Drosophila melanogaster: one gene and its partner. The protein of the gene in region 1 interacts with the protein of each later gene in a pairwise test. Each region holds a gene or a part of one and is shown on either strand. Other genes may lie near its edges.

The links.
Region 2: the proteins of CG30291 (region 1) and CG3610 interact in a two-hybrid assay, tested with the Drosophila melanogaster proteins (one large-scale study listed by BioGRID).

The regions. Positions count from the first base shown.
Region 1 is NT_033778.4:21,007,030-21,011,632, reverse strand, and holds CG30291 (uncharacterized protein), read left to right. Parts: upstream 1-2,056; 5' UTR 2,057-2,134; coding exon 2,135-2,140; intron 2,141-2,202; coding exon 2,203-2,377; intron 2,378-2,428; coding exon 2,429-3,271; intron 3,272-3,325; coding exon 3,326-3,831; 3' UTR 3,832-3,878; downstream 3,879-4,603. Other genes in the region: grau (grauzone), read left to right, coding at 1-754, 817-1,026, 1,089-1,464, 1,528-1,764. UniProt on the Drosophila melanogaster protein: Substrate adapter of E3 ligase complexes mediating ufmylation, the covalent attachment of the ubiquitin-like modifier UFM1 to substrate proteins, and which is involved in various processes, such as ribosome recycling and reticulophagy (also called ER-phagy).
Region 2 is NT_033777.3:14,843,266-14,847,453, forward strand, and holds CG3610 (uncharacterized protein), read left to right. Parts: upstream 1-1,777; 5' UTR 1,778-1,941; coding exon 1,942-3,408; 3' UTR 3,409-3,472; downstream 3,473-4,188.

The DNA of each region.
Region 1 (4,603 bases):
ACGAGATATCCAAGGTTATTTGCAACGTCTGCTGGACGCAGGTGTCCGAGTTCCATCAGTTCTACGTGTCCATACAGGAGGCCCAGGTGATATACGCCACCACCTCCAAGTTCAAGCAGGATCCGGAGATGGTGAACACCTCCTGGCCGGAGGAGGTGCTCATGCCGGCCGACGTCCTTGCCGTCGACAACGATGTCGGTGCGCAGATAAATGTGAATCCCCTGGACGAGTTAGACCTTAGCCAACCCATGTCCCCGGAAGACAGCAAGGTGGGCATCAAAACAGAGCGACAGTCACCCGACATGGAACTCCTCTTTGAGGATGCCAACAATGAACAGGATGAGGACTACGAGGACGACGAGGATGATGACACCGACGACCTGATCGTGACCCGGAGTGGACGCAAACGTAAACGGGACGTGGCCAAGCCGGCTAAAACGAAAAGAGGAACGGTGTCGGTGGGCAGAAAGGGGAAGGAGAAGATGGTGGTCAAGCGGGGACCGCCCAAGAGGATATTCAAGATGGAACGCCTGCCGCCGTTTTGCAAAGAGGACGAGGAACTGATCAAGCGCTACATAGTCATGGGCTGCGAGCTGTGCATATTCTTGGCCGAGGACTTCGACGGCATCCGCGAGCACTTCAAGGACAAGCATCCGGACGAGCGGCCCTACATCAAGTGCTGCGGACGCAAGCTCAACAAGCGCTGCCTCATCCAGGAGCATGCGAGGAGGCATGAGAATCCCGAGTACATCAAGTGGGTCTCTCTTACCCAAACCAATTCGAAGCGATTTGATAATTAGCTTTCCTTTCCGACAGATGCAAGGACTGCGGAAAGGTGTTCGCCAATTCCAGCGTATTGCGTGCCCACTGGCTGGTCCACCATGTTCCAGACGAGGAGTGCGACTTCCAGTGCGAGGACTGCGGCAAACGCTTCTCGCGACGCAACCTGCTCGAACTGCACAAGGGCTCCCATGTGCCCGTAAATGAGCGCAAGTTCATCTGCCCGCAGTGCCCCAAACACAATGCGTGAGCCTCGCCAGCTAAACGGCAGTGTTTCCAATGCTTATCGTTCTCCTTTCACACCACAGTTTTGCCACGGAGTACCACATGCAGGTCCATATCAGCATGCAGCACCGCAAGGCGGCCAATATCTGCCATGTGTGCGGCAAGAAGATCAAGGACAAGGCTGTCTTCGAAAAGCACGTTCGCCTGCACTTCGAGGAGAGCGGACCACGGATCAAGTGCCCGCGTCCTGACTGCGAGAGCTGGCTGAAGGACGAGGACAATCTTAAGCAGCATTTGAGGCGCCACAACGACGAGGGCAAGCTGTTTATCTGCTCAGAGTGTGGCAAGAGCTGCAAGAACTCCCGCGCGCTGATTGGTCATAAGCGCTACTCCCACTCGAATGTGATCTACACCTGCGAGCAGTGTGGCAAAACCTTCAAGAAGGACATCAGCCTTAAGGTTGGATAATACATATTACCCTTATTTATTTATGTGTTGTATTAAAGCGATTGATGTTTGCAGGAGCATATGGCGCAGCACACTGGCGAGCCACTCTACAAGTGTCCCTTCTGTCCCCGCACCTTCAACTCCAACGCCAACATGCACTCCCACAAGAAGAAAATGCATCCGGTGGAGTGGGACATCTGGCGAAAGACGAAGACCGGTAGCTCACAGAAGGTCCTGCCCAGCGCCCAAGTGGCGCAAATGTTCCGGGACGATGCCGATGTCGCAGCTATTGCCAATGACTATTCGGGTTAGGCCCGGAAATGCTTAAGGAAATCGATTTGCGGAAACCATTGCTTAGTTTTTGATTGACCTTTGTTTGAAAACAAAATATATGTATAATAGGAATTATTTGAAAGTACGAGCGGTTTGTTGTCATATTGGTGGGATTTTTGGCTATTTACATTTTAATTAAGTTTTTTGAATTTAAATGTTTCATTTAGCTACATTCAGAAATATTGTTTTTGAATTTAAAAAATTTACAGTGTGAATGTCTTGAATTTTTCAATTGGAAAAAAAAGGTATGATGGTTGAAGTATCCGCTTTGTTTATTACAGTAGACTGGTCACACTGCCAGCTGCTAAAATAATAGAAAACAGTCTGCGTGGACAAACATTTAATTAAAATGAATGTAAGCACTTTATTAACGAAATCTTTGGGAATATTTCGCTCATCAGCATTTTATTTGAGCAGGAGTCCGAGATCCCCATCGACATACACACGCTGAAGCTGCAGGACTGGCTGATCAGCCGCAGAATTGTGCCCAAGAATGTGCAGCAGGAGCTTAGGGAGATCCACAGGAAGATTAGCAACGCCCTGCAGGACATGCCCTCCAATGAGCAGCTGATCAAGCTGTTGGCCCGGACAAGTAGGTGCCCAGTGCCCAGAATGCCATCCCACTAATGTGTCCCACTTGCAGATATCAACTACTACCATGTGAAGGAGATCATTGAGATCCTCAAGCAGACGGAGAAGGACACCAAGAGCGTGTTCGGCACCTACGGCAGCCAGCGCATGAAGGACTGGCAAGAGATTAGCCGCCTGTACGAAAAGAATGCCACCTACCTGGCCGAAACGGCTCAGATTTTCGTGCGCAATGTGAACTACGAGATTCCCGGAGTGCGAAAGCAGATGGCCAGGCTGGAGCAGCAGGCGGACGAGACCCAGAAGCGAGCGCACGATCTGAACAAGCCCGAGAGCCAAATCCTGGCCGACCACTCGGCTTTGCTGGAGCAACTGGGCGTCAAGGGCGACAATCTGCATGCCGAGTTCGTCCAGGTTCTATCTGGTCTACCGGAACTATACGATAAGTCGCTGGTGGGCATTGCCAATATTCAGCCGGGCATCGACCTGTATGCGGAGGTCAGCGGCAACAAGCAAGTGCTGCCTATCCTGAACCACCTGGTGGAGTTTGGCAACACCACCGTGTACCAGTACATCCACAAGGAAGCACCCTTGGCCGTCGAGGAGCCGCCCATTCGGCTAAATCTCAGCGAGGGCAACGCCAGCAAGGATGACAATGCTGTGGCCGAGATTGACTTCGGAACGGATGACAACGGCGGAACTTCGTCGACCGTTTCGGCTGAGATTATCGACTACGGGGACTTCGGCAGCGGGGATTTGCCGGAAAGCGACGGCGGCAACATCGACTGGGGCATTGAGAGTGCACCCACCGATGCGGTGGAAATCAATTTTGACATTCCCGTCGAGGAGTACGGCATCGTGGTGGAGGGCACCGGCATGGATGGCGGCACTGCCAAGGGTAAGTTCTTTTATTATACTCGATTTTATGATGGTTAATGGTTTGTTGTTCCAGGCGATCAGGCCTACACTTTGCTGGACTCACCCAACTATCGCGATCGCTTCCTGGACGAAATCTACGAACTGGAATCCTTTCTACGCATGCGTATCTACGAGCTCAAGCAGCTTGAATCCTCCAGCGACATCATGTTCTCGCTGATGGACAACATTGCCACCCACGACGGTGAGAGCATCTGGAAGATACTCGTGTCCGTGGAGAAAATAATCCAGCAGACATCCGACAAGCAGACGCAGCACCTCTTCCAGCTGAAGCACTCCCCAAAGTATGCCAATATGCTGGCCACCAAGCTGCAGCAAATGACAAAGGCCGTGGAGAAGCTGCGCGCCACGCGAGAGGCGCTCAAGCAGTTGACCATCGAGCTGCGGGAGCAGCGGCAGGACCTGAATCCCGTGCTGGAGGAGCTGATTGCTCAGACTCGCACGCTGCAGTCTCACATCGAGAAGGATATATCCAAGCGGTACAAGAACCGGGTGGTTAACTTGATGGGGGGTGTTAACTAATGTAACTTTTTTATGGCTGTTTGTTAAAAATAAACTGGTAAATGGACAAAGATGGTTTTGTAAATTTTTTAAAAGAAGTTTATTTTTATTTTGCTATTTTTATTAAATATACAAATTTTATTTATATTGTGTTCTTTCTTTTAATTGCCATTTTGCTTCTCTCTTTTTTTTTTTTTGTATCCAGAATACAAACCTAATTTTAGTGAAGTTTGTTGATTTCATTTTTCGTTCTCTTTTCTTTTCTTTTCTTACTTTTTTTTTTGTTGCTTTTGTTTTGTTCATAAAAGTATGCTTACACAGTTAACGTTTTAAACTTTCACTTAAATGTAAAATTCTTATGTTGCTGAATTTTAATAATGTGTAAAACAAGAACAACGCTGTGATTAACTTAAATGTTTTGGGGGCCTGTGTCTTGAATATAAGGAAATTCATCGAGATATATTGATTAAACCGGATGTACACATATGTATGTAGATGTACATCTAGAATGGTAGAATGGGGGAGCTTCAATTAAATCGGAAATGCTATAGAGTAGCTATACAAGGTTTGGGTGTAAAAAGCCACAAAATGTCGGGGTATACATTGGGATATCAACTAGACTTAGGCACTAATCTAACAAAAGTGTGGCTGGCGGTAATCAGCAGAAAGGCTTCGTAAGTATAATCAATTCGTTAACTAAATAGAAAATAACAAGCACTATCGAAAATACAATTAATTATACGGGGAAAGAGGCCTCATGATATGGTTACAACTTTGTGTGGTCAAAGCGTCG
Region 2 (4,188 bases), on another chromosome or scaffold:
TTGATTAATTGACGATGACCTGGCTAAAGACTTAATGCCGAACTTCCGTGCGAGTGGCAGATATACTTATTATATCAATTAAGGTAAGCAACAATGCTTTCTATTGTCCCCCCCAGTCCAGCGATTCTGCTGTCTCATAGGGTCGGACCGCCACTTTCCATCATCCATCCAACTTAATGTGCAATAATGAGTGTCATGTAATGCCAGACGCGTTCGATTCGAATTGCCAACCAACCAACAAACAAACAAAACTGAACTCAACTCAAACAGCAGCTGCATTGGCGGCTAAAGGAAAATAAAAGAGAAAAACCCAATGCAGCATTAGCAACGACAACAAATTAACATTTTTCAAAACTTTAAAGCCCCGACATGCGTTGACACTTTCGGGGAAAATTGCGTACAATTTCAAATGCAGGCACAAAACTTTACGCGTAATTACGACACTGGGGAAAACAGGAGGAAAATATAAATGGCAATAAGGGGGGGGGGGGGGGCACAAAAAAAAAACAAATAAATAAAACAAACCGCTGGCAAATCGCGTTCGCTGCGCCGTTGACAGTTGTAAAATGGAAAGGTTATCCGGACCCTGGTCGGCAAAAACCATGGACAGCCAACAAATGCGTCGAGGAAAGTGCCTTCGGAAGCTGCAGCTGCTACTGGAGCTACTCATGTCCCATTCCCCATGCCCCCCCGCCACGAACTCAATCCCCTCCTGCCACAGAGACTCCGCCAATGAGCTTCTGTCGTGGACAGTGACTGATGGTCTGGGAGAGCTCCGCTCTTTTCTGCCTCCAATGATTACGATGATGATGAAGACGGCGATGACAGGGCAGCATTTAACCAGCGCTCAGCAGTTAGATAACTATATATAAATTATGGAAGCCAGACGATAAAAATCCTCGACAGATCGCTCTAGAACGTCTACCATAGTTTATAATTCTAAATATACGTATGTTGAAAATGTTTGATTGCAATTGTGAACAAATTATAATTGGTTTTATCTTATTTTCCAATATACTCAGTATTCTGTAAATAATTGACTTTTATTTAAATACCTTTTTAGCTCAATAGCTGTTTTAAATTCAGGAGAAATATTATTTCTATTGAGTGCAATGCATTCGAGCTCAGAAACTCAATCGTTTAGCTCGGTTGTGATTTTCCATACAAATTCGTATGCAAATTCAAAGGTATATATAGCCAATAGTCGGGGCAACAACGCGCTCGCAAGGGAAGCACTTGAGCCTTACTTTGATGCACATATCCCCATTAAGTTGGCCCCCGTCGAGCTTGTGGCTCCCAATGCGGCCATGCAGTAGGTGAGAGAGAGAGAGAGATCTCTTGGCCTCTTGGCCCAGAACCCACTCAAATATGCTAATCCACTGGAAGTCCACACAGACCTCCACAGACAGCCCACAGTAGAGTGCATGTTTCTGAGCTTCAGGAAAAGTAGTTGCATAAAGCTACAATGCCTTTCCAGAATCTCACAGAGGAAGTAATTTGAAATTACGGAAGGACAGGCTTTCAATTACGGTAAGCTAACTTACCGATATAAAGGGAACATTCTGTAATCGTGGGCAATTGACAGATTCTGTCAATGACAGAAAATCAAGAAAAGTGGCTTTATATTCGCAGCTTAAAAATATTAGCCAGCTCTTATCTGTTTCACTTAATTCTTCATAACATACTTGTAATTTGAATTAACCTGAATATTATTTTCTAAACTTATTTATCCAGCTGAAAACTGTCGTTTTTTAATATCTGAAAATTTTCTAGCAGTCTTCAGTTAGTCAGTAGATTTCGTTAGGTTACTAGCACAAAAAAAAAACATTTTGAGTGAACTAATACCACTCAAAACGCCTTGACATATCACATATTTCATTCCCAGTTAAATTTTCCTAAGTAATTTCTTTAAAAGGAAGTGGTTTGTTTTCTTGAACCACGATGGAAAATCTCCAACCGGAGTCGGATCGCGTTGGCCATATTGTCTGGGATGAACCGGGAGCCTCGATTTTTGCCACCGCCTCCCAGGAGCCCGTACCGAATCTTCTGACCGAGTTCAAACCAATGCCGAAGGGCGAGGACGACTGTGTTTCTGATAAGGATGTGTGCCGCATTCTTACACAGTCGTCTGTCGCGGAGAGCTCATTGTTCCGAATGGTCAAACACCAGGTGGACGAAGTGGCCGCCATGCTCAACAGTCACCTGCATCCGCGCCAACGGAAGGAGCAAACCGATGTGGATGTCACCCTCGGTGTAGCAAGGGAACTGGCTCGCCAGCAGGTGGAGGCCAGTAGATGCCTTCAACTTCATCGCAATGTGGAAAATTTGAGGGATCTCGAGATGGAAGTGGCCCGTGCCCACACAGCGTTGGCTGTCAAGAACAAGATCACCAACAATATCAAACAAACGGTGGAAGATAAGCAGCGGGAGCGGGCCGAAGCTTTGGCGGAACAGCGAGCCGTGGAAAAGGAGCTGAAGGAGGAGAAGCAAAGAAGGGCTCAGAAGGCAGCCGTGTTTCGTAGAGATCTAATGGCCCAGATTACCGAGGGGCGTACCAAGCGGATACAAGATCATCGAATAGCTGTGGCCGAGGGTCGTCAAGAGCTAAAGGAATGCAAGGAGATAGTGGAGCAGGGAATCCTAAAGGATGCAGTTACAAAGGCGCAGCAGCGCAAGGTGCTCCTCGAATCCCTAGACCAATCGGCAGCCATGTTGAAGCAAACCCGCGAGGCCTACGCTCTGGCCCAAAAGAATAAGCCCGAGAGAGGACTCCTTGATGCCCTGGGACCCGTTACGGCGGCCTATGTGTCAAAGGCACGGAAACGACGCCTTGATGAGATCGAGGCCAGGGACATTAATGCCGCTCGGCTGGGCTTCCAGCTCAGCCAGATCAAGCACGATCTGGAGTCCCGAGATCAAGTCATCACCAGTCTGCTAATCCGCGAGCACAAGGCCAAGGAGAACGCGAAGGCCTTGGAACAGGCTAGAACCAAAATGGCCAAGAAGCAGGAGATTCGCGAACAGCTCCTCAGCCAGCGGGAAGAGCAGAAGTTCTTCCGAGATAAGGGTGTGCAGGATGCCCTGGTCATGCCCAAGGATCCCATGTGCTTCGGCGAACGACAGTATCGAATGCAAGTGGCCCAGCGGGAGAACACCCGGCGCTTGGATGTCCAATGCTACCAGGACATGGCCCACATGGTCGTGGAGGCCAAGAATAACAGGAAAGCCGCTGCCCAGGAGGTGGTTGACATTGTACAGGAGGTCTACAACCAACAGAATCGCCAGGATGAGCTTGTGGCTATTGAGCGGATGAAGCTGCTCTCCAAGCAGCCACCTGAAGTTCTTTCAGCGCTCAAGAAATCCATTCTCACCGAAGAGGAGATCAAGTCTTTAAACCTTAAGAAGTAGTTAATGAGTTTTCATTTAATACGCGCTAGATGCCCGTATTAAGGCTTGTAGAAACAAAAAATACAAAAAAGTACTTTTTGTTTTTTTCTTCGGGTTATTATTAAACCTACGCCCCCCTGGATGTTGGCTATTATTTATCAAGTATACTACCTCATGTGAAGCAGCCCACTGGCACAGGATGTGCTTAATTTTCCATTTTGCTGCTCTGCACTTTTAAATAGACTTTGCTGGCGCTGCCGGGATGGCAAATGAAATTCACTTTCTTATCCATTCTTTGGCCAAGCTTTTGCAGCAGGTCAGGTTTCCAGGTTTCGTACTCGAGCAACCGGTTTACCGACATTGCAGCTGGAAATTTGTTTACAATAATACGGTTCGAACGCACGCAGATGGGAGCGTAAGTGCACTTTGAAACCGGGCTTACATACATTTCCTTTACTTTCCATTTCTGGACTCATTAGCCGGCTGCCGGAGGAGACAGGTTTATATTTCATAACTGGCTGGCGAAGAAGGCTCAAGAATGTTGGCAAAGTCAGTTTTTTGGCAACCATTTTGGAGCACTCTCTTGACGACCTGCGGAAACTTTCCCTGGCAATAACTTTGGCTCCAAGTTTCAGCTTCAATGTGCAGAAAAAAAGATATATTTATGCTTTCAGTACACTGTAAACTATCGAAAGAAACTCTTTTTGGGTGCTGCGAGCTCAACTAGTTCTATAAACTGTAGTCATACTATTAAAATGAAACATGCTAGTTGTACTAACCAGGAAATTAGGGAAATTCTTG